Oryctolagus cuniculus: one gene and its partners. The protein of the gene in region 4 purifies or fractionates together with the protein of the main gene of each other region. This does not show direct contact. Links are inferred from orthologs where the notes say so. Each region holds a gene or a part of one and is shown on either strand. Other genes may lie near its edges.

The links.
Region 1: the proteins of CAPZB (region 4) and WASHC4 purify together in Homo sapiens (co-immunoprecipitation; 4 studies listed by BioGRID and IntAct, with this or other methods). This does not show direct contact. The link is inferred for Oryctolagus cuniculus from reciprocal best matches to the Homo sapiens genes CAPZB and WASHC4.
Region 2: the proteins of CAPZB (region 4) and TWF1 purify together in Homo sapiens (affinity purification with mass spectrometry; 3 studies listed by BioGRID and IntAct, with this or other methods). This does not show direct contact. The link is inferred for Oryctolagus cuniculus from reciprocal best matches to the Homo sapiens genes CAPZB and TWF1.
Region 3: the proteins of CAPZB (region 4) and WASHC5 purify together in Homo sapiens (co-immunoprecipitation; 4 studies listed by BioGRID and IntAct, counting the BioPlex papers as one, with this or other methods). This does not show direct contact. The link is inferred for Oryctolagus cuniculus from reciprocal best matches to the Homo sapiens genes CAPZB and WASHC5.
Region 5: the proteins of CAPZB (region 4) and rho GTPase-activating protein 17 purify together in Homo sapiens (affinity purification with mass spectrometry; 3 studies listed by BioGRID and IntAct, with this or other methods). This does not show direct contact. The link is inferred for Oryctolagus cuniculus from reciprocal best matches to the Homo sapiens genes CAPZB and ARHGAP17.
Region 6: the proteins of CAPZB (region 4) and CNOT6 purify together in Homo sapiens (co-immunoprecipitation; 3 studies listed by BioGRID and IntAct, with this or other methods). This does not show direct contact. The link is inferred for Oryctolagus cuniculus from reciprocal best matches to the Homo sapiens genes CAPZB and CNOT6.
Region 7: the proteins of CAPZB (region 4) and CNOT1 purify together in Homo sapiens (affinity purification with mass spectrometry; 5 studies listed by BioGRID and IntAct, with this or other methods). This does not show direct contact. The link is inferred for Oryctolagus cuniculus from reciprocal best matches to the Homo sapiens genes CAPZB and CNOT1.

What each region holds. Positions count from the first base shown.
Region 1 is NC_091442.1:107,794,055-107,797,739, reverse strand, and holds part of WASHC4 (WASH complex subunit 4), read right to left. Parts: intron 2,560-3,685; coding exon 2,506-2,559; intron 2,425-2,505; coding exon 2,359-2,424; intron 1,350-2,358; coding exon 1,304-1,349; intron 874-1,303; coding exon 806-873; intron 1-805. UniProt on the Homo sapiens protein: Acts as a component of the WASH core complex that functions as a nucleation-promoting factor (NPF) at the surface of endosomes, where it recruits and activates the Arp2/3 complex to induce actin polymerization, playing a key role in the fission of tubules that serve as transport intermediates during endosome sorting.
Region 2 is NC_091440.1:134,928,783-134,932,467, forward strand, and holds part of TWF1 (twinfilin-1), read right to left. Parts: intron 2,779-3,685; coding exon 2,600-2,778; intron 1,102-2,599; coding exon 1,006-1,101; intron 1-1,005. UniProt on the Homo sapiens protein: Actin-binding protein involved in motile and morphological processes. Inhibits actin polymerization, likely by sequestering G-actin. By capping the barbed ends of filaments, it also regulates motility.
Region 3 is NC_091437.1:150,727,686-150,731,370, forward strand, and holds part of WASHC5 (WASH complex subunit 5), read right to left. Parts: intron 2,265-3,685; 5' UTR 2,137-2,264; coding exon 1,951-2,136; intron 1,147-1,950; coding exon 1,001-1,146; intron 381-1,000; coding exon 296-380; intron 1-295. UniProt on the Homo sapiens protein: Acts as a component of the WASH core complex that functions as a nucleation-promoting factor (NPF) at the surface of endosomes, where it recruits and activates the Arp2/3 complex to induce actin polymerization, playing a key role in the fission of tubules that serve as transport intermediates during endosome sorting.
Region 4 is NC_091438.1:151,256,988-151,261,420, reverse strand, and holds the end of CAPZB (F-actin-capping protein subunit beta), read right to left. Parts: intron 3,687-4,433; coding exon 3,584-3,686; 3' UTR 3,574-3,583; intron 1,405-3,573; coding exon of another isoform or gene 1,317-1,404; 3' UTR 604-1,316; downstream 1-603. UniProt on the Homo sapiens protein: F-actin-capping proteins bind in a Ca(2+)-independent manner to the fast growing ends of actin filaments (barbed end) thereby blocking the exchange of subunits at these ends.
Region 5 is NC_091450.1:14,554,975-14,558,659, reverse strand, and holds part of rho GTPase-activating protein 17, read right to left. Parts: intron 3,181-3,685; coding exon 3,024-3,180; intron 1,384-3,023; coding exon 1,150-1,383; intron 1-1,149. UniProt on the Homo sapiens protein: Rho GTPase-activating protein involved in the maintenance of tight junction by regulating the activity of CDC42, thereby playing a central role in apical polarity of epithelial cells.
Region 6 is NC_091437.1:66,992,806-66,996,490, reverse strand, and holds part of CNOT6 (CCR4-NOT transcription complex subunit 6), read left to right. Parts: intron 1-12; coding exon 13-170; intron 171-1,183; coding exon 1,184-1,338; intron 1,339-3,685. UniProt on the Homo sapiens protein: Poly(A) nuclease with 3'-5' RNase activity.
Region 7 is NC_091449.1:41,893,985-41,898,318, reverse strand, and holds the start of CNOT1 (CCR4-NOT transcription complex subunit 1), read left to right. Parts: upstream 1-1,510; 5' UTR 1,511-1,627; intron 1,628-2,011; exon of another isoform or gene 2,012-2,180; intron 2,181-4,334.

The DNA of each region.
Region 1 (3,685 bases), on a different chromosome or scaffold from region 4:
TGTGGGAGACCCAGAAGCTCCTGGCTTCAGATTGACACAGCTCCAGCCATTGCAGCCAACTGGGGAGTGAACCAGCAGACGGAAGACCTCTCCCTCTCTCTCTCCATAATTTTTTCAAGTAAATAAATAAATCTAAAAAATAAAAAAAAGACATTGCTCAAGTAAAAGCTTAATCCTCACCATTAACTTTTCGTGATATAATTTGTCTTTTCCTACTGGTATGAAGTTAAATGCTTCCAAAGGCAAGAGGACAGGCCTGGCATTTTGGCAAAGCAGGTAAAGCTGCAACACCAGCATCCCATTTGGTGCCGGTTTGTGTGCTGGCCGATCCAGCTCCCTGTTAATGGCCTGGGAAAAGCAGAAGATGGCCCAAGTGCTTAGGCCCCTGCTACTGATGTGGGAGACCTGGAAGAAGCTCCTGGTTTCAGTCTGGCCCAGCCTTGGCCTTTGTGGCCATCTAGAGAATGAACCAGCAGATAAAAGATATTCTCTCTCTCTCCCCTCCCCTCTGGGTCTCCCTCTCTCTCTTCAACTCTTTCAAATAAATGAAGAAAAAAAAAAAAAAAAAAAGGCAAGATGAAATACTGTCCATAAATGAAATTACACAGACTTATTTTTACACCCATTTCCCTAAAAAGGCAAGTACATCTTTCAAGAGTTATGATTTCCTAAACTATAATCAATGTTAGTTAGTGTCTTACCCTCTGAGTATGCATCCTTAGCATCTAAAGGTTTCAGAATTTTAAAGATTATGTAATGTACTTAAATTTTTCAAAAACCTCAATAGAAAGTAAAATTCAGTTACCTGTAAGAATGAAATGAATCTTCCCATTTGAATCTGGCAATCACCTTCCACCATGCTAGAATCTGTAGCTTTAAAAGACAACATTTAGAATTTTATTTATATTTTTAACAAACTCAATCAGCACTGAAAAAGTGTTTTTCATTAGAACATCTTCTAAAGTGGATAACATTAAAAACGAAATTTTTACATGCAAGAGAAAAAGGAAATAATCATTAATCACACAATTAAAAGTAATTACCTGCTTCATTAATGAATTCAAAGAAAAATCTCATCTAGTTACAATGCTTTGTAACCTATGAAAATATCACAAATGAAGCCATTGCTGCTCCATCACTCAGTTTTTCCACCCATTTAACCAAATATACAAAAAACTGGAATGATTATTTCTCACACTAATACATTATTTAATCATGGCAGCGGTAGTACTGTCTATTATTTTTTGTTCATTTCAATCGTAAAAAAGGCATCACATTACAATTCTGAAATTTTAAAACTTACCTCCTTCTCCATAAAACAAGAGACCATTGTAAAATTTAGTTTCAGCCTGTTAAAAAAATTTTAAATAATTTCAAAGATTGTTATTGTTTTCAAATTACTAGTCTCTCCTATTTCTCTATACTTAATAAATGACTATCATTTATATACAAATTCATTTAAATTCAAAAACTGCTTACAACATAAGTAAATTCATTTTATCCTTAAAGTAACCAAGATATAACTGATATGCAAAGAGGTATCTTGGCTCCTTTAGCCTTTCCTTTATCTTAACTGATCATCCTCTTGGTCCCACATCCTCCCATTAGTTCAGGGAACAGAGAGAGCAACCACATAGTGTCAAAGAGGGGAAAAAAGATGCTTTACCATTTCTACTTGAGTTTTAATGGCTTTTGAGTAAGGATAAACAAAAGCACACATTAAATATTCACAGCTTTTTCAAATTTCAGTTCTATATACAGAAGCAAATGTGGCAGATCTAGATTCAACCAATCACTACCAGTAAAATGTTTCGCAAGTGGCAGCTTCTCTAAGCCTCATCTATTCCGCATGTACGCTCTGGGTCAGGGTAAGCATGAATTGTGTTTCTGGCACACAGTACATATTCTATGAATGGTAGTACTACTGTTAACTGCATCCTTAGTATTACTATTACTTTAAGTAAATCATTCAATAAATATTTATTCTACATTGGGCATATATAAGCTTATATTGGTTTTATTGAAAGAAAAATTTTTTAAGGGGCAGAGAGACAGCTCTCACTGCCATCCACTGGTTCACTCCCTAGATGCCCACACCCGGGCCAGGGTAAAAGCCAGGAATACAATCCAGGCCACCCAAGTGGCTAGCAGGAACCCAATTACTCACACCATCACCACCGCCTACCAGGGTCTGCATCAGCAGAAGCTACAGCAAGGAGGCAAGGAGCCAGAGCTCAGCCTCAAACTCAAGCTCTCTGATGTGGGGCACAGGCATCCTAACTGCTAGGGCACTTCCAGGTACATAACTGCTTTTCAATTATCTGTTTAAAGTTTTAAGACAATAATACAAAGTCTTACCTCATATTTTAATTTCTTTATTTCACAACAAAGTGCAGCATAAACAGTGATGACTTTGTTTAAGACCTAGTTTCATGAGAAAAAACATTTTTAAAAAAGCAAATTATAACAGTAAACTAAGACATTTTTAGATTAAGGATTCTGTACCTTGTTTTCAGTCTTTATGAGTTCCAAAAGGGAAGACTGTTCACAAGGCAAAAGCTATAGAAACAAAGGGAAAACAACAATTATTTTTTTAAAAGTCACTGAAATTTGAAATATACAGATTGAGACAGTTCTATTCTATTAAACTTGTTTTAAGATACTGCACTCAGCAAGAGGACCACATCAACCATTATGTCCAAAGCCACCTCACTAGGCAACACAATAAGGAAACCAAACAATCTCAGAAAGACGTGGCCCCAACATGACACAGTCAAGCTGCCCTCTAAGGTGTAAGGTTGTTCATTATGAGTGCAGTGCTAGAAAACGCAAAGTAAAAAGGTAATACCACTATTACTAAGCTTCATTAGTTACGACCATCGTAAAAGACCTTGCATGATTTTGGAATTTGCTATGCAGTCATATATTTAATAAGATATTATAATTAAAAGGATAAAAATAAGTGATAAAGAACAAGTATCTTTTCAGAAACACAACAGTGTCCAGTTTACTTACCTTCTAAAGCTAGCTCAATTTCCACTTCGTTCATAAAGGCTTTCTGATCCTCATCTATAAGTCATAGCTTGATTAAGTGAAATCTTAAGTTCTCTTTTGGTTACATGCTAACAGTTTCCAAGAATGTACACTATATACACCCTTTCTCATTAGATTGTAATTTCTGTTTACAGAGATTTTGCCTGAGTTTGTGATTTTCCCAAAATACTAAGCAAAGAATCCTGCATAAGAGCAAAAAGAGGGGGCCAGCGTTGTGGTGCCATAGGTTACGCATCTGCTTGAGGCACCAGCATCCCATAGATGTGCTGGTTCTAGTCCCAGCTGCTTCTCTTCTGATCCAGCTCCCTGCTGATGGCTTGGGAAAGCAATGGATGATGGCCCCTGCACCCACACAGTAGACTGAAAGACGTTCCTGGCTCCTGTCTTTGAATCTATTCAGCTCCAGTCATTGTGACCATTTGGGGAGTGAACCAGTGGATGGAAAATCTCTCTGCTCTCCCTCTCTTTGTAACTGCCTCTCAAATAAATACATCTTTAAAAAAAAAAAAAAAAGAGCAAATATAATAAAATAATTCCTCAACAATGGAACTACAAAGAGGTTCCTGATAAAGCAAATGGGTGTGCATGATAAAAGAACCCTTCTGTAGAAGAAGATTGTGAGAGATGATTT
Region 2 (3,685 bases), on a different chromosome or scaffold from region 4:
GCCAATGAACCTGGTCATGCTCAAGTCTACAAAACAACTGTAATTAGCCTTTAGGGGGAATGGCCCTATAATTATCAATAATCAACCTTTATATTCTGAGTTATATGATTATTTAAGTAATTTTTCTGTAATTATTCAGAGGAAATTACCACACTTTTTATATAAAGAGAAAAAAACTCAAAAGTGGTCTACCTATCAAAACTTCACAGTTGGCTGGCGCCGCGGCTCAATAGGCTAATCCTCCAACTAGCGGCGCCGGCACACCAGGTTCTAGTCCCGGTCGGGGCACCCGATTCTGTCCTGGTTGCCCCCCTTCCAGGCCAGCTCTCTGCTGTGGCCAGGGAGTGCAGTGGAGGATGGCCCAAGTGCTTGGGCCCTGCACCCCATGGGAGACCAGGAGAAGCACCTGGCTCCTGCCTTCGGATCAGCGTGGTGCGCTGGTTGCAGCACGCCGGCCACGGCGGCCATTGGAGGGTGAACCAACGGCAAAAGAAAGACCTTTCTCTCTGTCTCTCTCACTGTCCACTCTGCCTATTAAAAAAAAAAAACAAAAACAAAAAAACCACAGTTTGAGACTGAGGCTTATAAAATTAAATTAAGACCACCTTACAATCAATCGTAAACACATTCCCATTTTGAATTGTGTCCTACCCACTAGATTACATTACGTTCTGAATCAGAAAAGCTCTAAACACACACAAACTGTTCAAAAATATTTCAATTTTCTTAATTTTTGTATGTATACCTAAACACATGTCATTACCATGTAAGTATTTTAGGATAAGTGTATTTCAATACCTTTTATCCTCAATGTCAAAGGTACAAATGAATGAATTCAAAATTAGTGATATATTAGCATTAACTTGTCTGATATATAAAAAAACCACCATTTTCTTTTAGTCTTAGGTTTATAGATTCATCCATGCAGCTTCATATCAATTATGCATTACCTAGGAGTTCTTCATCAGTCATTCTAATTGTATCATTGAAAACCTAGGTTTGTACCTTCACTGTTCCAAATACTTCATCTTTAATGTGGCCACCTCCAAACTCTTTTTTCAGAGTTGCTCTTGTTGCTGCATACAACATTTTTTGACGAACCTATTCAGTTGAGAAAATTCACAATTAGACATGAAAAGACATCATTAAAAAAGGAATATTCTGAATGTAAAAAAAAAATCTACAAGTACACTGAAAATAAACTGTGCTAAAACTGAAGCCCACTGACCATAACATGCTAAACGTGTACAAACAACCATAAAAACATGAGCCTCCACATTATCGATGACTATTAAGGTAGATTTCAATCTATGTAACTTTGTTAAAATGGAAAAAATATAAATTCTTAAAAACTCCTCATTTGTCAAAGCATAAAATGAGCTCAAGAGTAACAACCTACTTAAAATAGGGTCTTAAAGAGAAAACACTGAAATGAAGTAACCTTGCTGGCAACATTTTACTCAAAGCTAGATCAGATATTACTAATCAGGCTGTCAAGCATCAACTATCCAGGGCTCACTTATGGCATATACCATTCTATCAGGGATGTGGGATAAAGGGAAATATACTACACACCAATAAAACAGAGTCTGGAGAGATCTATGGCAAGTTGCTAACAAAAGCTACCAATTAATAGAAATAATTTCATAATCCTGCAGGGTCAAATGCAGTATTTCTTTGTGGGCAGTGTTTGTATTTCTTTAACTGACACAGAATACTTGTCCATTCAGAGGGTACCACCAGGCAGCGTTTTGTTTTGTTTTGTTTTGTTTTTTTTGGGGGGGGGGGGCAGGCAAAGTTAGAGAAAGGTCTTCCTTCCGTTAGCTCACCCCCCAAATAGCCGCTACGGCTGGTGTGCTTCAGCTGAGACGCCGATCCAAAGCCAGGAGCCAGGTGCTCCCATGCGGTGCAGGACTCAAGGACTTGGGCCATCCTCCACTGCACTCCCGGGCCACAGCAGAGAGCTGGACTGGAAGAGGAGCAACCGGGACAGAATCCGGCGCCCGACCGGGAGTAGAACCCAGGGTGCCGGCAGGGCAGGTGGAGGATTAGCCTATTGAGCCGCGGCACCAGCCACCAGGCAGCATTTTAACCCAGGGATACATGTGCAATGATCTGGTCACAGTAAGGAGTGGAGCTGTCACTAAGACATGTATCACTTCTGTGTGCTGGATCATATCCTCATCTTATCTTCTGTTCTATTTACCAAGTCTACAATCCTAAAAGAAATACTTGCTGTGCACATGTCCATTAACAATGTATGGGGAATAATAACAAAATGTAATACTCAATTAGTCCTCAGATTTAATACAATTATCTCTCAGGACAAAATAGCTTCATTCTTCAGAGGCCCATATCATTTAATATACCAGACAGTAAAATTAAAAATTTTAGGTAAATGCTAATTATTTTGATTTCAAGGGCAAGACTTCCGAATCTAAGTACATTATCCTGATTTTACATAAGCAATTCAAAGAATTTCTCTATGCGCATTTCCTTCTATGGGAAATGACTACTGCTTCTTAACCTTGACTTGGCCTAGAAACATTCAGAAAAATGTCCTTCTATGATTTAATAAACAAATTTAAAAATTACTTACATGAGAATGATCTGGAGACCAGGCAATGAATATCCATTCATATCCCTGGGCATTCTGAGAATCTAACCTGAATAATATGTAGCATGGCTGTTTGTCCTCCAACAGGGGTAAAATAAAAGGATCATAATCCTTATCCCAAGAGTCTAAAGGCTGACGAGAGGAGCCAATCACAAGTTGCTCTGTGAAAAGCAGTATTTAAAGATATATAAATGGTTTGAAATACCAAGTGGTAGTCTGATAAACACTAGGAGAATAAATTAATATGTAGTTATTTCCAAATTACTGTTACACCAAAAGTTGAAAAAAAAAGGTGGTAACAGAATATAATTACAATATAAAGTACTATTAAAACAGATATTAAGATTTTACGAACAGCATGATTGAAGTATTTAATATACAGCACAAGAAAGGAACACATAAAAACGATCCTAACAGTTAAGCTGAATGGTTAAATAATGGGTGAATACAGTTCTACTTTCCAAAATGTCTGGGCTATAAATTATCAACAAGATATATTTAAATAACTGTACTGCCGAGGCCAGCGCCATGGCACACTTGGTTAGCCCTCCGCCTGTGGCACCGGCATCCCATGTGGGTGCCGGGTTCTAGTCCCGGTTGCTCCTCTTCCAGTCCAGCTCTCTGCTGGGGCCCGGGAGTGCAGTGGAGGATGGCCAAAGTGTTGGGCCCTGCACCCCATGCGAGTCCAGGAGGAAGCACCTGGCTCCTGGCTTCGGAATGGCACAGTGCCGGCCACAGCAGCCATTTGGGAGGTGAACCAATGGAAGGAAGACCTGTCTCTCTCTGTTTATAACTCTACCTGTCAAATAAATTTAATAAACAAAACTGTACTGTCAGCCAAAAACACCATTTCTGAAATTAACACTTAACTACATATACGAAGGTGTATTACATAAAGTCGGTTTAGCTCCTGTTTGAGCACAATGCTATAGATTTTAAAATCTACCCAGAAGCCTGAGTTGGTACAATCACTGTGTGGTGATATTTGGCAGAATGAGGTAAAAGTGTAACTGAACCTGCACAGAAAACCTGTCGGACTTTTGCACAAAGGTGTTCACTGCGGCAGTA
Region 3 (3,685 bases), on a different chromosome or scaffold from region 4:
TTAAAAATTAATAAACATTTATCTTACGTGGTCACTATGTACAAGGTGCCAAATTAGACAGAATTCTTACACCGAGGAAGCTCATAGCCTCCACATAATCTTTCATTACTTGTAATTTTGTTCTTACTCATATTCTAAATTCAGGCATAGATTTGGTGGCTAGAAGATAATTATCAGTTGGTTTTGCTTCTCTTTAAAGAATGATATTCTGTATATATTTGTGACTTACAAGGAAAAAAATGACGCTAAGTTTGACATTCTTGAATTTCCGTTTTAAATGGTCACCATTACTCACCAGAAGTTGCTTTCCATCTTCATTGAGAAGCACAGTTTCTATTGTCTGCTGAATATAGACCCCTTCATTGAGGTCATCTAGATATCTGCGAACGAAGCCCCAGAGCAAGTTATTTGTTTTAACAGAAACTTGAACATCTTGAAGAAAGAACAACTTTTAAAAAACAAGACAGGATACCAGATATTCTGGCCTTCGACAAGTTTGTGGTGTTTCATGCTCTTAAAAAATAGCATTATAAGCCATAATTCATAGTGATTTAGGGCCACAGGTTGATATTTATGCATGTTCCAAGTAAAAGGTCCTGATTTATGAATTCCAAGTATCTTAGGAATAATGACATAACAGCTTGGAATAGTTATTTAAAAGCTAATGATAATGAATTATTAAGAACTGCAGAAGACACAAAGCTAACTAAAAGACTAAGTTCCTTTCCTTCCCCTCCCCAAATGTCTCATCTATATATAATATGCTGGAATATGCTACTGAACTATAGGACTGCAACCTATATACTAAGTTTATTATGATACTTCACAGGAACAGGCATTATAAGATTCAAAAGTATTAAAGATGACTACTGCTACAAGAAAGAAAAGGCAATTGCAAATAGCAAATCTGGTAGTAACAAAAAGATGTACTTTCTACTGTGACCCTTCTCCCTCTTCACTGTTTACTATTAGAATAGGCTGTTACTAAGTTCATCAATACCTGTTTAAGTCTACAATATATTTATGCACACTTTGAAACGCTAAATAAAATCTGGTCACAATTTCTATGTTGTTTTCACGAAATTCTTCATCTAAATCCTGTAGCTCTGGTTTAGCTTCCAGTTTGCTTTCCCATAACTCTGGACCCTACGAAGAAAAACACATTTACATGAAATGTCAACAAAAGCATATGTGTTGGCAACAATTTCTTAGTAGTCTTTTGAAAAATTTGTCCTTATGTTCCTCAATATCAAAAACTTAAAGCAGAGAAACAGAAAGTCATGAAGATAACAGAAGCCTAGATATAAAATGCCTTTGACAGTAATGAAGTTGAATTGTAACCAAGACAGGCATGCTTTGAAGAGCAGAACAGTCAACGTGAAATACAGAACAGCAAACTTTTCTTTTTAAAATTTGATTATATCATGGGAAGACTTCCATGCAGTACTGTCATCTGATTTTCAAGTTAATAGGTGAGGGGCCGGCACTGGGACATAGCAGGTAAAGCTGCTTCCTGTAGTGCCGGCATCCCATAAGGGCGCCAGTTCAAGTCCCAGCTGCTCCACTTCCAATCCAGCTCTCTGCTATGGCCTGGGAAAGCAGTGGAGGGTGGCCCAAGTCCTTGGACCCCTGCATCTACATGGGACGCTCAGAAGCTCCTGGCTTCAGATCGGCCCAGCTCCAGCCACTGCGGCCATTTGGGGAGTGAACCAACGGATGGCAGACCCCTCTCTTTCTCTCTGTAACTCTGCCTTTCAAATAAATAAATATATAAACAAACAAATGAATAGCTAAATCTTAACAAAAAAAATAGCTGGTGCCACATTTGGTTCAAAAGTTTTGCTCTGTAAATCTCTCTATAATTACCTAACCTCTTAGAGTCTCATGGTTCCAAGGAAAACATGCTTGTATAGAAAAGATAGCAACAAAAATGCTACAGAAAGAGATTACCTTAAAATAGCTGAAATCAAATATGATATCTCCATATTTCTGTTGATCAACTCGGTCTTTTAACCTGAACACAGCAGGAATGAACTCCGACAGCCTCAAGAGTTCAGCAATGATGGCATTGCCGCAGGAAACAATCCTCAGGATGGCCTGGCCACAGAGGTTGTTCTCGGCTAGAAAGTCCAGCATGGTAACAGGGGTCGAGTACGCTGTCCGGACGATGAGAACAATGAGCTTGCTTCAGAGCCAGAGTCTGTAGATCAATAGATGAAACCAGGTCTGTGGATCGACCAGCTGCTCCATGAAACGACCTACATCTAAGAAATTTTAAAAAGGTATAAAAGTTTCCATGTCAAAGGACGTACCTGCATATAAACATGGCATCGTATTTTCCCTCAATCCCCCTCAAAAATTCAACTCCCCTAAAGGCTTATAATGAGTTCTGATACGGGGAGAAGGGCAAATGTTATTGACTGTTTATGTGGAGGGACTTCAACAGATTAACATTCTTGACATCTTTCTCAATCTTTTATTCACTTCTCATAAAGAAAGACAAAATTGTTCATTTTTGAGCTAGGGCAAAGGAATACATATGCAGTTCCAATGCACTCTAATTGCAGAAGCAAATCTATGATTGAATATAATAGCCAATCATTGTAAACACTACCAACAGAGCTGACATATCTCTACACATATCTTGAGGTATCTGCCCCAAGTATTTCCTAGAAATGGAATTGCAGGGCTAAGGTACAGCATGTCCAAGACTGCTTTTAAAATTACAGATGCCAGAGGCAGGCACTGTGGTACAGTGGGTTAAGTCACTGCTTGGTATGCTGCCTCCTGTATCAGAGAGCTGCTTTAAACTGGTTCCTCTGCTGACACCCCCGGGAGGCAGCAGATGAAGGCCTAAGTACTTGAGTCCCTATCACCCACATGGCAGACCCAGATGGAGTTCCTGGCTCCTGGCTCCAGCCTGGACCAGACCAGGTTGTTGCGGGCTTTTCAGGGAGTGAATCAGGGATACAAGATCTCTTTCCCTCTCTTTTCCCGCCTTTCTCTGTCACTCTACCTTTCAAACAAATAAATCAAAGAAAAGAAGAGAAAAAGAAAAGGAGAAACAAACATTAGAGCTACATTCTACAAAATTCTGGAAAGATGATTTATAAATAGTAAATTAAAAAGGTCCCAAATCTCACATAACTCAGCACACAGGTGTCTAGTTCTGTTAGCACAATTATTTTATTTCTCCTTTATCTAACGCACTGAGGATGGTCAGATCACTTAGTGCACTAAATAATTACTGGCAACAGGTCATTATTGAAGGCAACGGTTGCTATGCTTTACCTTGCCACTCCTTGCTGAGCACCTGTTTGCCAAGCTGGATATGAAACTGTTTAAGCAACTCACTTTTTTTTTAAAGATTTTTATTTATTTGAGAGGTAGAGTTACAGACAGTAAGTGAGTGAGTGAGAGAGAGAGAGATTTTCCTTCCGTTGGTTCACTCCCCAAGTGGCCGCAATGGCCAGAGCTATGCCGATCCAAAGCCAGGAGCCAGGTGCTTCCTCCTGGTCTCCCACGCGGGTGCAGGGCCCAAGCACTTGGGCCATCCTCCACTGCCTTCCCGGGCCACAGCAGAGAGCTGGACTAGAACTGGTGCCGCAGGCGGAGGATTAACCAAGTGAGCCACGGCGCTGGCCCTGCAACTCACTTTCTAGTGCAGAGGTTCTCAAGTCTGACT
Region 4 (4,433 bases):
GACAAAGGTGAGCGACAGGCCCTCGGCACAGTGCGGTGCACAGCGGTGACCAGAGCGAGGCCAGCATCGCAGCGTCTCAGTCGCCCATCTGTTCCGCTTGTGTGGCAAGAGCTGCTGGAACCCCCCAGGGTGGAGAGGACGCGAGTGCAGGGCTCTGTGGTTCCAGCTCCCGTGTGCTGTGCTGTGTTGCACTCGGGGTGGGGGTAGGGTCTTGTGGGCAGCAGGCGAGGACCTTCTGGCCTGGGGTTTGTGGGGGGGGAGAAAGGCCCATCCTGTAGCTCTGCGGGTTCCCCAAGCCCACAGCCTGCTTCCTCCCACTCTCCCACTTGAAAGGGGCGTGCCGGCACCTGGCTGGGGAGGCACGGGGGTGCCCAAGGACCGGCCTGCGCAGGCGCTCCACAGCCGCCCCGCGTTTCCCTACCAGGCTGGTCTGGAAGGCGGGGCGCAAGGAGGCCCAGGGCTCCGGAACCCACTCCCCGGCAAGCCCCGCACCTGCTCAGCGGCCGGGGCGTCTCCACCGTGGAGTCAGCCCTCCCCCTCCCGGCTGAGGCCACGCGGGCCTTCGAGGGAGGCGTGCGAGAAAGAAGACGGCAGACCCAGTGCTAACTGCGTCCCAGTTTCTTTTTATTTAATTTTTTTGTTCTTTTTTTCCTTTTTTTAAGTATGGAGGCTCAAGTATAAGATGTAGATATTTTTTGTTAAGCTTTACAAAAAAACAAAATAAAACAAAAAACTCCTTTTGCATTCCGTAAAAATTGACAGAAAAGCACCTGGCCAGAAGAGCAGCCCCGCCCCCACCCCGCGGCCTCCGAGGGACAGGGGCAAGCCTGCACAGGACGGCTGAGCCCCTCTCCTTCCGCCCAGGGCTGGCCCCTGTCCCCCGCCCCCCGCCCAAGCAACTCCCAAACGCACTGGAGTCGCACCTCCAGGTTTCCTTCTGTCTCTCACACACCACAGTTATTTCATAAAATTTTTTTGTTTTACATTTTTTACACCAATGTAACAAAAAGGGGGAGGGGAGGGGCTGACGGACAGCGTCTTTATGCCTAAGGGGGGGGCGGGCGGGGCGGACCGGGCCCTCGCGGGCTCTATGCAGACACCAGAGTTCTGACAGCGGAACGGTGGGAAGCAGGCCTCGGAGCCGGAGCAGGGCGGTGACTGGGCTTTATTGGGGAGATGGCGCTGTGCGGTCGAGGATGCGCGTTGTTAGGGGCCTGTCGGGGAGGGAGGGGCCGGGGACAGGGAGCAGAAAACGAGTTTTCTAGGAAAGGAACCTAAAGAGTGCGCGGCGTGTCCGGCTAGCGCGGAGCAGGGGCTTAGCTCTGCTGCTTTCTCTTCAAAGCCTCCACCAGGTCGTTCTTAAGCGCTTCTTGTTTAGATTTGTCTGCAAAAGTCTGCACAGACCTGCAAGGGAGACAAGGCGTCAACAGCGGGCCGAGTGGCAGGAGCACGGGGCCGTGGGGCTCGCGCCTCCCCGACGTGGCCGGCAAGGTGCTGGGGTGTGGGCTCGGGCACCCCTCTCCCAGGTCAGCACAGGCCCAGCCTGGGGACCGGGAGCCTGGGATTTGCTGCAGGGGGCGCGGCTCAGGGGAAGCCAACAGGGACAGTTGCTCGTGTCTGCCAGGCTGACCATGACCGCAGCTAGCGGAACCCAATGGTGGCCTCCAGGCTTCCAGGCACAACGTAGCAAGGACCCCGCTTCCAATCAGCTGCTGGGACTAGGAGGGGCCCAGGAGGAGGCTCGGCCCCGGCCCTGCGGAGAACAGGGGGCAGGGGCTGCCGCCTGGCGAGTGTTCCGGAAACCAGCGGCTGCACGGTGGCGCATGCTGGGTTCACGGCCCGTGAGCAGCTGTCAGCTTGGCCCGGAAAAAACCTTGCCAGGATTCCAAATGCGGCAGAGGAAAGGGTGGCCTGGGCCCCCGCTGGCGAACCCCAGGCTTGCGGGGTGGGGTGGGGTTAAAGGGACTGGGAACGCTGCAGTTCGTGGGCGTCACCCACCTGAGTGCTCTCCCCCACACGCATCCCAGATGAGCAACTGGAGCTTGGAGAAACGCCCCCGGCACGGCCCTGACCTGTCACACGCACTGGACAGACGGCCGGCCAGGCGCAAAGTGGCTGGCTAACTTTCTCAGTGCAGGGGCCGCTGGGCGCCACGCTGGGCTGGCCGTGCGGTGAGAGCCTCAGGTCTGACGTCAGACCCACGCAAACCATGGAAAGGAAGGGTCAGGTGTCCCCGCCACGTGTGCGTGCTGGGGAGAGCAGAGCGAAGCAGGGCCCAGGAGACTGGATTTTGGGGACCGAGTCCTGGAGACGCCAGAGTGGGCACAGACAGGACTCGAGCCGTCAGCACAGGCCGAGGAGCGCCCGTGGGAAACGCCAGCTGAGGCAGATTTTGCCCCGAGTTCTGCAGCGGCCAAAGGCAGGGTGGTGGCTCCCAGGCGCCCAGTCGTGGGCAGTGCTCTGCGGGCCTCACTGAGCTCACGTCGGAGGGCGTGACCAGAGAGCAGCGGCTCCCTCGCCCGGCACAGCTGGCTCTCCTGGGGAGACAGGACGCGGCGCTGGGTCCTGCCAGCCCCGCCCCGCAAGGACCAAGCCCAGAGTCAGAACCAGGTTAGAGCTGTGGACGTGAGCTTGGAGCAGCTGGAGGCCGAAGGAGCAGGGCCGTCACTGGGAGGGTCACGGCCGCACTCCACATAGGAAGACCACGGCCCCTGCTGGCTGCCCGAGCGCCGCAAGGCGAGGCTGGCGGCTGAGACGCCCTGGCCGTGAGATCCCGCAACCGTGCAAGGGCGGCAGCCCCGGCTGCTTAGTAAGCACCGCCACCCCCAGACTTCCCAGCAGCTCTTCTGGGCTGGGCCTCGGGCCTCGGACCCTGTGCCTGGGGGCTCGGCGGCCCTGCTGGCTGGGTCACCAAACGCCTCATTCTAACAGCCCCCGCCCTCCGCAAGAGCGCCGAGCGCCCTCATCCGTCCGTGTCTGTCACAGGCTCCAGCTCCGCCATCGGCACGGCCCCGGCACAGGCTCCAGCTCCGCCATCGGCACGGCCCCGGCACAGGCTCCAGCTCCGCCATCGGCACGGCCCCGGCACCAGGCCGCTCCAGCAGCAGCCGGTCTGGAGCAGCAGCATCTGGTCAGGGGCACGACGGCTCCCCCCACGCTTGTCCTGAGCCTCGGAGAGTGGGGTCCCCCGAGCCAGCTGCCTCAGTCCCTGTGCCACGGGGCAGGGTGTGTGTGGCTGCGGGGGAGATCCTAAGGCCACCCCGAGGCATGTGGGGAGCAGAGGGCAGCTGTGCGTGCACACAGCGGCCTCCGACAGAGCCCGCGTTAGTTCCCTGGCCTGGGCTCCTTCTGGAGCCAAAGCTGAAACCACCCGTCTCCCCGGGACCTCGCTCAGTGCACAGCACACACCACACACGTGAACGTGTCCGTTACGCGGGCCAAGGCAACATGTTATACGGCCGCCCAGCAGCCAAGAGCGCACGGGGGTTAGTGGAGGTTTAACTGGGCGCGCAGGGCCCGGCGGTTGGTGAGTGCTGTTTAGTGGGCAGCTGTCACGCCTGGCAGGCAGGGTACCTGGATCGGCTCAATTATCAGGCTGGATGTAGATCTGGCGCTGGGTCAGCACTTGGGAAAGCTCCCTCTGCAGCTGCTTAAACTTTTGGTTGTCAGGGATAGCGTCAATAGATCTACAGAGAGCGTTCAGAGGTGAGAAGCAGGCAGGGCGTGGGGGCTGGGTGCACCCGGAGGCTGCCAGCCCGAGACGGTGACTGCGTGGCGTCCCCGCTGCCGGTGAGCGCAGGCACCACCGCCGCTGGAGGAGAGGGTTGGCGGGGTGGGAGAGGGTCTGGTCGGAGGCGGAGGGCCCGACGCTGGGGTCTCTGGGCTCTGGCCCAGGAAGTCAGGATGAGAAGGGCCAAGGGGAACCAGAGGGCAGCTGGCTGGAACCTGTGTCCCAGACAGACCCACCGTGGGCGGCTCCGCAGTGGCTCAGCTGGCCTGGGACCACTGGATAGGGACAAGGGGGGTGGCCAGCAACGGCACAGCAGAGCCCTTGGCCACACACGGTGGAGAACACGTCAGACCTCAGCATCTCACCCCCCGTGCAGCCCCCTGCCTCCTGGACCCGGTGGGGAACAGGGCTCGGAGGAGACGCAGCCTCTGGGCTGCAAGGCCAGCTCGCTGCACTGACAGCCACCTCTCATGCCCCCATGCAGGCTCTGCCTCCTGCTCAGTCCTCTACGGACCCCAAGGACCCGAGCAGGGTGGGAGGGGCAGGTGAGGACCTCGGCTCTGGCTCTGTCCGCCCAGAGCTCAGTGGTCTCTCGCCCTCGCAGGGCCTAAGGGGGCTGCGCAGCTGGGGACGGAGTGGAGGCAGCCCGAGGGGCGGGCGCAGGAGCTCCGTCCCACGTGGAGTCGGCTGTGAGGGCGTTCAG
Region 5 (3,685 bases), on a different chromosome or scaffold from region 4:
AAGAAGGGATTCGGAACGCATAAGGCATCCAGAGGCCAGTGGTGACCGAACACAAGCAGACTCACAGCCTGTGGGCTCTCCCTCAGCCACTGCAAGGAATCTCCCCAGGCACATGCATCTCCGCGCCCGGGGGAAAAACGTATGGGTAAACAGGCCAGCCTGGTTTCACACACTTTAATGAGGGGATTTCCGAAAGTTCATGGAAAAAGAGTTAAAAGATGGTTATTTTGGTGCAAAAAAAGTTGAAACCCAAGCATATGTTTATCATAATGCACATTTTCCATGAACTTGTTAGAGACCCTTCACATTTTATTTCAAATACACTTAGTGCTTTGCAGGTGGCCAACACAAAGCAAATGGCAAGGAAACTCCAGCACACAGCAGGGCTCTTTTGCAGGACAGACACCACCTGCAGTGGCCTCGGGGGCCATCTGCTCAGGGCAGCGTGGGGAACTGAAAGAACACAAATTAAGTGAAGATCTCAGGTTCGAAGGCACCTTCTTGTAGAGTTGCTATACATCTGAGCCCACTCTTGGTGGTTTTTCAAATGGTTAAGCAACCTAATAAGCCTTTTTTTTTTTTAAAAAAAAAAAACCACTGTATTTTCTAACTTTTACTTATGTGTCAATTTCCATGCAGAACTGAAAGACCCAAGGGGTGTGGGAAGTCACAGTCACCTCCTGTGCCTGCATGATGCCTGGCACGTACCAGTTACTCCACAGATGTCTGATTAAATGAAACAATGAATGCCGGGAATATTATGACCTGACAAGCCGCTACACTGAAATGCTGACTAGTTAGCACAATGGAGGACAAGAAGCAAATGTCACACAGTTACACATCAGACAAGGAAACAAAGTCTGTCCTACTGTTAGACACCTGCTGGCTTCCAGCACCAAAGCAGCATGGCAAAGAATGTACACAAGTGCTGCCTTTTTTTTTTTTTTTTTTTTCCCCACAAAACAGAAAAGGAAGCAAGGGATTTGCAGTCCTTCTTCCGTCCTTTGCCAACTGGAGGAGTGAAAGCAAATCTGGGTCACTCCATACCACAGTGGTTCTTTGGGCGTGGATGCCAGACCCAAAGGTGACCACGTGCCAAGAGCCCCGGGGCCCCCAGCCTCCACTCCCAGCAGAAGTCGGCCTCCTTACCTGCTGTCGCCCGGGCTCAGCCCCTGCTCCAGTGTGCCCGCAGAGGAGGGAACAGTCCCACCCCCTGAGCTGCTTTCAGCCCTAGAGCCCTGGGGAGGGGTCTCTGGGCCCGCTGGAGCCAAGGTGCTGCCATCTGTGGGTGGGAGTGGCGGCTGGAAAGCGGGGGACATGTGCTTTCTATTTAGAGTGCCACCCCGCCGGTGGGCCTGGAAGTCCATAAGCTTCACACCAAAGCTACACAGAGAGAAGAAACAGTCAACACACCATGCGAGCCGACCACGGAGACAGAAGCCCATCGGTCCACACGTGTTCAAACCACACGTGGGACGGCCACCCAAGTTGCCCGGCATGCAGCGAAGCGGCACAGACCAGATCAATGGTCACCCCTGTCACCGAGGCCTGCAACTCAACTTGGCTTCAAATCTGAGCCAAGCCAACAGATGCAGCGCGGACAACGTCCCAGGCGGAAGCAGCTGAGAGCAAACGGGCAGGCTTGTCCCGAGTGGCAGGATGCTAAGGTGTTTATTTCTACACTACCGAATTCCATCTCAAAACTGTGCTCGGGGAGTGTGGTGGAGGCTGAGGCCAGGATGCCACCTGGTGGCAGTGGGAGGTCCTGACGCTAGGATGCGATGGGCAAGCTTTCACAGCTGCCTGTGAAAACGCAAAGACGCATAAGCCTGGAAGATAGCGCTTTGGGAAGGGCCTGGTGTCTGGAGAACCGCACGGAAGGCAGACTCGCTTCTCACAGAAGCCCTTGGTATCCGAACTTGAAAACTCAAGTTTTCAAGCCCCTGGGCTTGAAAGTTTCCATGGCCCCTGGACTCATGTTTACTGGGTGGGCTGGCACCCAGGCGGGCGGCTGACAAGTGTGTGTCACAGGCTCACTGGACTCAGAGCACTGCATTTTACAACTTAAAGTCTATGAAAGCTTATTTTGTCACAGGTAGCGTCTGTCTTTAGGAAACACTACTGATGTGTGTGAGGAAGGGCTCAGATGAGCAAAACTTCTGTACGGAATAACTGTAGGTTTCAGAGCGACAGAATAGCACAGTAAAACATTTTCCTTTGCTAAGCATAAAAACCCCAAACAAAGCAAAACAAAACAAACATTTTGCTGTAGGACTTGCTGATTAAGAAAAAAACAAGAGCATATTGTTCAGTTTGTGAAACTATTTGCAGCAATATTGTTACATATATGCAAGGAAAGCGCGTTCCTTCTGAAGGCCTCTTAGCTCTTTGTATTACAGGTGAATACAGCAGCATTGCATCATACACACTGGGAAGGCTGGCAGCTGAAGGCCAGAAATTCACAAGGTTTTAATTACCCTCAGAGAGTCCCACAAATTTCCCACAAAGCATATAGGGAAATACTGCTTCTCACTCGGCCCAACCACCCTTTCCTTCCCGAATTGGCAAATACTGAGGCTTCGCCTGAACGTCAAATTCAGTGGCTGGCTTGACTGTGAAGCCACCCAATGTCCACCCAATGTCAAATCACACAACTCACGGAGAGAGGTGAGCTGTTCTCACATTCATCCCAGACACAAGTCCACACTATTTAATTATTTTTCCTTCCTCTCTTGTTGGGTGGATTTGTAGCGTGTGTATGATGCCGTTCCACTGTGGGGCTGCCCAGAGACCACCAAGTTAAGCTCACATGTTAGCTGACAAGCTACATGTTTTACTCTACAGTCAGGCTAAGGCTCAGAATGAGCTACAACATGAAAACTGCGTGGGTTCTTCCAGTCACAGATGCACAGGGGCCACTCTCGAATCACAGGCTCACTGTGCCCAGACGAGATACTGCAGGCCTAACGATTCTCCCGCATGGAATCTACTGCTGGTTTGGAAGTGACCAGCTCTCAACACACCTCTCCTTCTTCACCAAGTCTCCTTCCATCACCGCCATGCTGGCAGGCCGCTTCCTTTCCAGGGTCCCTGAGTCAGAGTCGTTTCCAGTGTGGGATGAGTGATTAGAATTTGGGGTGGCAAGAGGCACAAATGCTTCTGATACATTGAACTCCACCTCTGCAAAAAGACAAATAAACAAACGCATGAGCCCCAGAGCAAGGGGGGTCAAGGGAGCTCTAAGACACCCCCACTGGAACAGGAGCCTCCTCCTTCAGTCTGGAAGCCCTCCCTGTTTTGCAAGTAGTGGCTGCAGGTGCTCGCATCTTAAGAATGATTTCTTAAGCCAGTGGGAAGTAAAGTATGAGAACCAGAGATAGGGGAAGTGGCACGATTCGGAATATGCGTTACACAACTCATCTGCTTTCTCTTTCATGGTTAAAAAAAAAAAATCATGGGAAAAATCAGAGTGCCTGGGTTTAAGTCCCAGCTCTGCTTCCAATTCCAGCTCCTCGCTAATGTGCACCTGGGAGGTAGCTGGCGATGGCTCAAGCAGCTGAGTCTCTGACACCCACATGGGAGAGATGGATTGAGTTCCAGGCTCCTGGCTTTGGCCTGGCTCAGTCCTAGCTGTTGCAGGCATTTGTGGAGTGAACCAGCATTTAGAAGATCTCTATGTCTCATT
Region 6 (3,685 bases), on a different chromosome or scaffold from region 4:
TTTTTCCTACAGCCTTGTTTTCTGTCATGTGCTATAATGTTCTTTGTGATAAATATGCGACCCGGCAGTTATACGGCTATTGTCCATCATGGGCATTAAATTGGGACTACAGGAAAAAGGCCATTATTCAAGAAATCTTGAGCTGCAATGCTGATATCATAAGCCTTCAGGTAAGTCGTACAGAAGTTGTATAAATAAATAGCATAAATTCCTCAGCATTAATAAAGCAAGGTTCAGGTATACTGGTAGAAGTACATGGGCACATTTGAAGTCATAGCTTCAATGGTTCTTAAAATACTGCCTATTTTCTTCTTTTATTGAACTTTTTTTTTTTTTAAAGATTCTATTGATTTATATGAGAGGCAGAGTTACAGACAGAGAGAGGGAGACACAGAAAGGTCTTCCATCCACTGGTTTCATTCCCCCAAATAGCCGTAACAGCCAGAGCTGGAAGCCAGCAGCCTCCAGGTCTTCCATGTGGATACGAGGGCCAAAGTACTTGAGTCATCTTCTGCTGCTCTCCCAAGCCATTAGCAGAGAGCTGGATTAGAAGAGCAGCAGTCTCGACACAAACTAGCTGTACCTGCTTCGGTTTGTAGCCCAGCACTGCCAAAGCAAATAGGTTAAGCTGGGTTATAATCATTTGCTCTGACAGCTAAATACTCACCTTCTGTCTCACTCCAGTGTCCCTATACACTTTTTTAATTGAATGGCAAAGTCATTAAAATTGTGATATTGCCAAGGTATAATTTTGCCTTGTCATCAGAATAATTAGGGCATAGTGGTCAAAGGATCAGACCTAGCATGTGCTATCATTGGGTTTCCATTACTTCTTTCGTAAGGACATGTGAAATCCTGGGCAAGTCGCTTTCTCCTCATGGATCTGAAGTTGTGATCTGTGAAGCTCTGTTCAACTCTTGATTCTTAGTTCACATTGGTTTGACATTTATAGGCATATATGATTGTCCATTCCTTACTCCTGAACAGTAGGGAATTGACCCTGGCAACTAGTATCTGTAAAACGACAAGTAGATATTCAAGTTTCGTTGAAATGATATTACATTTTTTAGTTTACAGATCTGTCCTTTGGAGTTACTTCAGGCTCTCAAACTATTCATATAAAGTTAGTACCTAGAACTGATTTTTGTCTTGTGTAATAACTTTGCCATTTACCATTTTTCAGGAGGTTGAAACGGAACAGTATTACAGTTTCTTTCTGGTAGAACTGAAAGAACGTGGGTATAATGGATTCTTTAGTCCTAAGTCTCGAGCTAGGACAATGTCAGAACAAGAAAGAAAACATGTTGATGGTTGTGCAATATTCTTCAAGGTAGAAAAGTAAGTCATCTTAAAACTTTTTTTATAAAGATTTATTTATTTATTTCTGGGGTGGGGAACCTTTTTTCTGCCAAGGGCCATTTGGATATTTATAGTACCATTCATGGCCCATTAAAAAAATTTTTTTTTTTAATTAAAGACTGATTTATTTATTTGAAAGGCAGAGAGACAGAAGTCTTCCATCTGCTGGTTCACTTCCCAAATGGCCACAACGGCTGGAGGTGGACTTGATCTGAAGGCAGGGTCCAGGAGCTTCTTCCGGGTCTCCCAAGCAGGTGCAGGGACCCAAGGACTTGGGCCATTTTCCACTCTTTTCCCAGGCCACAGCAGAGAGCTGGATCCTAAGTGGACCAGCTGGTACTCAAGTCGGCGCCCATATGGGATGCGGGCACTGCAGGAGGTGGCTTTACCTGCTACACCACTGTGCAGGCCCCCTGGGCCATAAAAATATCAGCAATTAGCCTGCTATAGATTTACTGAATTTCAAGTCCCGCCTATGATTGCCTTGGGAGGGTCAGACCAAATGATTTTGTAGGCCAGACCGTTGATTTATTTGAAAGGCAGAGTGACAGAGAAGGCACTCCCCAAATGCCTGCAAAAGCTGGGACTAGACAAGGTGGAAGCCAGGAGTCTAGAACTCCATTCTGGTCTCCCTCATGAGCTGATCATTATCTGTTGCTTTTCCAGGCACATGAGCAGGAAGCTGGATCAGAAGAGAAGCTGGTGCTCAGCTTGGCACTCTGATATGGGGTCATGGCATTGCAAGCAGCAACTTAACCTGCTGTACCACAATGTCAGCCCCTTCATCTTGTTTTCTAAAAAGAAAAAAGTTCTCAAGGGTCATTATTTGATAAATAACAGAAATTTATTACTCAAGAAAACAATGCTATTGATTTAGGGGTGTATTTTTTGCCTTCTTAAAAAAGATTTATTTATTGGGGCCCTCATTGTGGCATAGTGGGTAAAGCTGCTGCCTACAATGGCAGCATCTCTTATGGGTGTATTAGTGTCCTTCCTGGCTGCTTCACTTCATCCAGCTCCCTGCCAATGGCCTGGGAAAAATAGCAAAAGATGGCCTGACTGAAGCTCCTGGGTTTGGTCTGGCCCAGTCCTGGCCATTGTGGCCAACTGGGGAGTGAACCAGGAGATGGAAGATCTCTCTGTATCTCCCTGTCTGCAACTGAAGTTTTCTAATAAATAAGTCTATTTTATTTTAAAGATTGACTTGTTTATATATTTGAAGAGTGGAGTGAGAGAGAGAGAGGGATCTTCCATCTGCTGGTTCACTTCCTAAATGGCTGCAGCAGCTGGGGCTGGGCTAAAGCCAGGAGCCAAGGAATCCCTACATTTCTCCCACCTGAGTAGCAGGAACTAAAGTAGTTGGACTATCATCCACTGCATCCCAGGTGCTTTAGCAGGACGCTGAATCAGAGTGGAGTAGCCCAGACTTAAACTGGTGATCTGATATTGGATGCAGGCTTCCAAAGTGGTAGTTTATACTGCCATACCACCACACTTGCCCTGAGTTTGTTTTTATGTATTAAAAATAACCTTGTTTTGCAGAGATGTTTAAAGTGCTGCTGTTTCTTCAGGTGTTTACTAGGATTTAACTCCAGTTGTTAATTGTAACTAACCATGTAGTTAACATTCCTCTAGGATGGTAGAGGGATTCCTAAACCCATATTTTGGGAAACAATTGTTTAAAAATTACAAAATGGGATATACCAGTATTGAAATCTAAAAAGAAGATGACTACATTATCTTATAAGATTTTAAAAAAGTTATAAAGATTTTTTTTTTTTTTTTTTTTTTTTTTTTTGGACAGGCAGAGTGGATAGTGTGAGAGAGAGACAGAGAGAAAGGTCTTCCTTTTCCCGTTGGTTCACCCTCCAATGGCCGCCGTGGCTGGCGCGCTGCGACCAGCACATTGCGCTGATCCGAAGCCAGGAGCCAGGTGCTTCTCCTGGTCTCCCGTGCGGGTGCAGGGCCCAAAGACTTGGGCCATCCTCCACTGCACTCCCGGGCCACAGCAGAGAGCTGGCCTGGAAGAGGGGAAACCGGGACAGAATCCGGTGCCCCGAACGGTACTAGAACCCGGTGTGCCGGTGCCGCAAGGTGGAGGATTAGCCTATTGAGCAGCGGCGCCGGCCAAAAAAGTTATAAAGATATTTCAAGGTGTTATTTGTGTTGGTCACAAACTGAGAAGAGCTTTAAATGGATGTGGGATACTTGATAATAGTTTGGAAGGTTTTCCAAAATTTGATTTAAGTGGTAATCTGTTAAGGGAGTTTGAGTAGCTACATTTCCCACATAGTTTTGGTAATCCCAATTTATGTTTGTGTGTGTG
Region 7 (4,334 bases), on a different chromosome or scaffold from region 4:
TGGGGAGTCCTTTTGCAAAATGGAATGTTCTAGTTAGGAAGGCCTTTGGCACAGCAGTTAGGATGCTGTTTGGGTTGCCCACATCCCATGTTGGCATGCCTGGTTTCAAGTCCCAGGTTCACTTCTCCTCCCAGTTTATGATTTCTGCTTCCTGCTAATACACACCCTGGGAGGGATCAGTGATAGGTCAAGTAATTGATTTCTTGCTACTTATGCAAGAGAACTGGATTGAGTTCCCAGCTTCTGACATCTGCCTGCAGAGTGAACCAGTAGATGGAATATCTCTCTGTGTCTCTTATAAATGAATACATTAGGGGCCAGTGCTGTGGTGTAGCCGGTAAAGCCCCTGCCTACAGCGCCAGAATCCCATATGGGTGCTGGTTTGAGTCCTGGCTGCTCCACTTCCCATCCAGCTCTCTGCTATGGGCTGGGAAAGCAGTAGAAGATGGTCCAAGTCCTAGGGCCCCTGCACCCACGTGGGAGACCTGGAGGAAGCTCCTGGCTCCTGGCTTCAGATCGGTGCAGCTCCAGCTGTTGCAGCCATCCGGGGGAGTGAACCAGTGGATGAAAGACTTCTCTCTGCCTCTCCTCTCTCTGTGTAACTCTGACTTTCAAATAAATAAATAAGTCTTTTAAAAGATAAACACATTATAAAAAGAAAAGTTCTAGAGTCTGTAATACAACCTATGAATATGGGAAACACTATAGTATGCTGCAGATTTAAAAATGGTTAAGATAAGGGCTGGCGCTGTGGCATAGTGGGTAAAGCCACTGCCTGCCATGTAAGCATCCCATATGGGTGCTGGTTCAATTTCCGGTCCAGCTCCACTTCTGATACAGCTCTCTGCTATGGCCTGGGAAAGCAGTAGAAGATGGCCCAATTCCTGGGGCCCCTGCACCCACATGGGAGACCGGGCCTGGCTCCTGGTTCCTGGCTCCAGGTTGGCCTAGTTCCGGCCATTTGGGGAGTGAACCAGCAGTTGGAAGACTCTCTCTCTTTCTGCCTCTGCCTTTCTGTAACTCTGCCATTCAAATAAATAAATAAAAATCTTTTTTTTTTTTTTAAAACCACAGGCTTTAAAAACGGTTAAGATAGTAAGTTTATGTACTTTTGCCACAAGTTTTACGAAGTGTGTTTAGGCACAAAAGGTAGTATGAGACAGGAAATATCGTTTCCACAGCGCTTCCAGGGCTTCAGCCAGAAAGACAACTTGAGTTCCTTATCTCTTTCCAAAGGAGTCACTTCTCCCATAGGTAGACTAGAAGTGAAAGTTCCCTTAAGGAAAGCCAAGCAAGATAAGGCTGGGGGGGAGCGTGGGAGACTACATTCCCCTGCATGCACTGCTCTTCCTACAGCGCCGCAGGTGACGGGAGGCAACGCATACTTTTGCGACCGCAAAGGCGTGAGGCGCGGGACTACAACTCCCAGGATTCAAAGCGTCCCAACCTGGCTCGCTTTCTGCCTGCTGGCGTTCCCCTCCAAAAGGACCCGAGGGGAGGGGAATGTTTCCACTGGGCATCCCCACAGTGTGCTGGACCGTGACATTTCGAAAGAGGAAGGAAAGTGAAGAAGGAAAGTTGAGGAAGGCCGTCGCACTCCGATTCGAACTAGTTCCCGCGCAGGGTGGTGAGGAGTTATGCTTCCCCCTGATTTTTTGTTTCTCGGAGGCAATCGCTGGCCCCCATTGGTTGAAGACTTCGAGGGCAGGTGGGAAGTCCGGGAAGCCCCGAATCGAAGTTATCAGCCTCTCCCCATTGGCCCTCGCCTGGAGCGCAGGCGCGAGGGCTCCGACTCGGGTCCCTCGGGGCTGGTGAGCGGCAATTGGCCAAAGACCGCGAAGTAAGGGTCTTGATTGGTAGTTGCTAGCAGGAGCCTGGTTTCTTCCTTGACTTCTGCAAGTGATAGTTTGTGATTGGTTTGAATCCGCGGGTCCCTGACGGTGATTGGTCGGGAACGGCGAGCGGGCTGAGGTCATTGGCTGATGCGGGGGCCCTCCCTCCTCGGGCGGGCAGCGAATGATGAAATGGGAACGGGGAGGGGAAAGGCCGCGACGTGAGCGCGCGACCTCCGGCGCCATTTTGTAGAGAAACAAGCGGAGTTAACCGAAGAGGGGGTCGAGGAGAGCCGGAGTCGGGGACCCAGGAGTTTCCTGTGTCCAGCGCCACCGGAACCGCCTGAGGTGAGGCGGGCTGGGGTCAGAGGCTGGAGTAGGCTGGCGGTGTCAGCCTGGGAGCGCGAGTGCCGGGGTGGGGAGAAGGGAACGGGGGTGGACCTGGGGCTACAGGGAGCGTTTCCCGGAGCTCCGGGGAGTAAGAGGCAGCCGGGACAGGGAAGTGGGGCGAGGCGGGAGAGGACGGACTCTTTCCCCACGGCCCGCGGAGGCTCCGGGCGCCGAGGAGAAGGCGTTGGCGCGAAGGCTTTTGGAAGCGCACAGGTTCGGTGCGGGGTGAGACCCGGGGTGGCCCCCGGCCGGGGCCTGGCGGCGCAGTGGGTGGCAGCTGGGGCCCCTGGGCCTGGCTTCGCGCGGGCTGCACCCTCCTCAAACTCCGCGAGCTCCTCAACTGCTCCTTTTCTGTTCGGGCTCCCGGCAGGGTGCAGCGAGCTTCGGTCCCCGAGGCCTAGCTCCTCGGGCCAGGCAGCCGGATTCCGAGTTGTTAGGGCTCCCGGGTGGCTCCAGGGCGCCGGGGCTGCCGCGCTGCCCCCTCCTCCGCCCCCAGCACGTTGTCAAACCCCCCGTGTTTCGGGTGTCTGCCGGTGGGAGGGGCGGGCGGGAGCGAGCACTTCCTCATTCTCGCCACAGGTTTTTGTTCCACTCGCGCGCCGCGGCGCTTACGGTTGCTGCGGGGCCGGCCGCCCACCCGCTCGGGCCGGTGTCTGCCTCAGCGGCGGTTCTGCTCGCCCGGGCGGGGGTCGCCCTGGTGAGCCGAGCGCTTGGAGGCCTCGCGGCTGCCGAGAGACGAGCTGCCCGGGTTCTGGGTGTTACTTGAGGCCAAACCCAAACACCCCTTCCCCGTATCACTCTCGTCTGCAGAACCGCCGGGAGTGCACTGTGTAGTAGGTTAGCGAAGAAAGTGCTTGTTGGCTGTGAGCTTTGGAAAGCGTTGCGTTTAAAGTGTATGAGAAGTAAACTTCTCGCCTCAAGTCACCCGACCCCACGTCACATTTCTTGGGACTGCAGTAAAAAAGTCTTTTCCTTGAAAACTGAGTACTTAATTTTGCTGTTGCTCTATTCTATTGCCTGTGGCTACTTGTGGATTTTTTTTTAAGTGAATGATAAAAATGCTGTCAACAATTTTGAGTATTTCCCTCATGACAGCTCTTTGGAAAGGAATAGAGAGCTACATGGATTAAAAAAACAAAACGGGAATGGGTGAGTAAAACACCAGGAAGTAGGTCAAACAGAGGCAGACCAAATTTATTTTTTGCAGCGGTACACTGGGATTTACTTATGATCTGTGTTCCTGGTTGGCATTCTTACCCTTCCAAAGGTTGGCAGCACAGTATTTTAGTTATTACTGGGGTATATGGTAACAGTTTAAATAATTGTGTTTTAGGACACTGGAAATTGTTACCTTGTCTAAGGAGAAAATGGGGATGATGATACATAAAAGCTGGCTGTGCCGCATGTGGATAGAACTGGACCCTTCAACAAGTGTGTGTCCCGAGTCCTTTAGCTAGAGTCAAGGCAACCAGACCTGACCACTGGTAACTGAAACGACTTTCATACCAAAGTTTTAGTGCAGGGTTTTGTGGCGTTATGGTTAAACAGAACTGAAATGCTCTCCTTGCTTCCTTCCTCACTTGATGGGAACCTTGGCTTAGTTTTCTTTTTAAAATCTCTTTTGAATATTTAGTGGGGCTTAAGCCTGGTCTCTGGCATGGTTCTTGTCGAAGCAGAGTACTGTGATATCCCCCTTATATTAGGTTAAAACATTAAAAAACTGAGGACAGAAAAGGAAATGCCAGCTCTTTAAGAATATGGTTTAGGCCCGCGCCGCGGCTCACTAGGCTAATCCTCCGCCTAGCGGCGCCGGCACACCGGGTTCTAGTCCCGGTCGGTGCGCCGGATTCTGTCCCGGTTGCCCCTCTTCCAGGCCAGCTCTCTTGCTGTGGCCAGGGAGTGCAGTGGAGGATGGCCCAGGTGCTTGGGCCCTGCACCCCATGGGACACCAGTATAAGTACCTGGCTCCCGGCTTCGGATCAGCGCGGTGCGCCGGTCGCAGCGCGCTGGCCGCGGCGGCCATTGGAGGGTGAACCAACGGCAAAGGAAGATCTTTCTGTCTCTCTCTCTCTCTCACTGTCCACTCTGCCTGTCAAAAAAAAAAAAAAATAT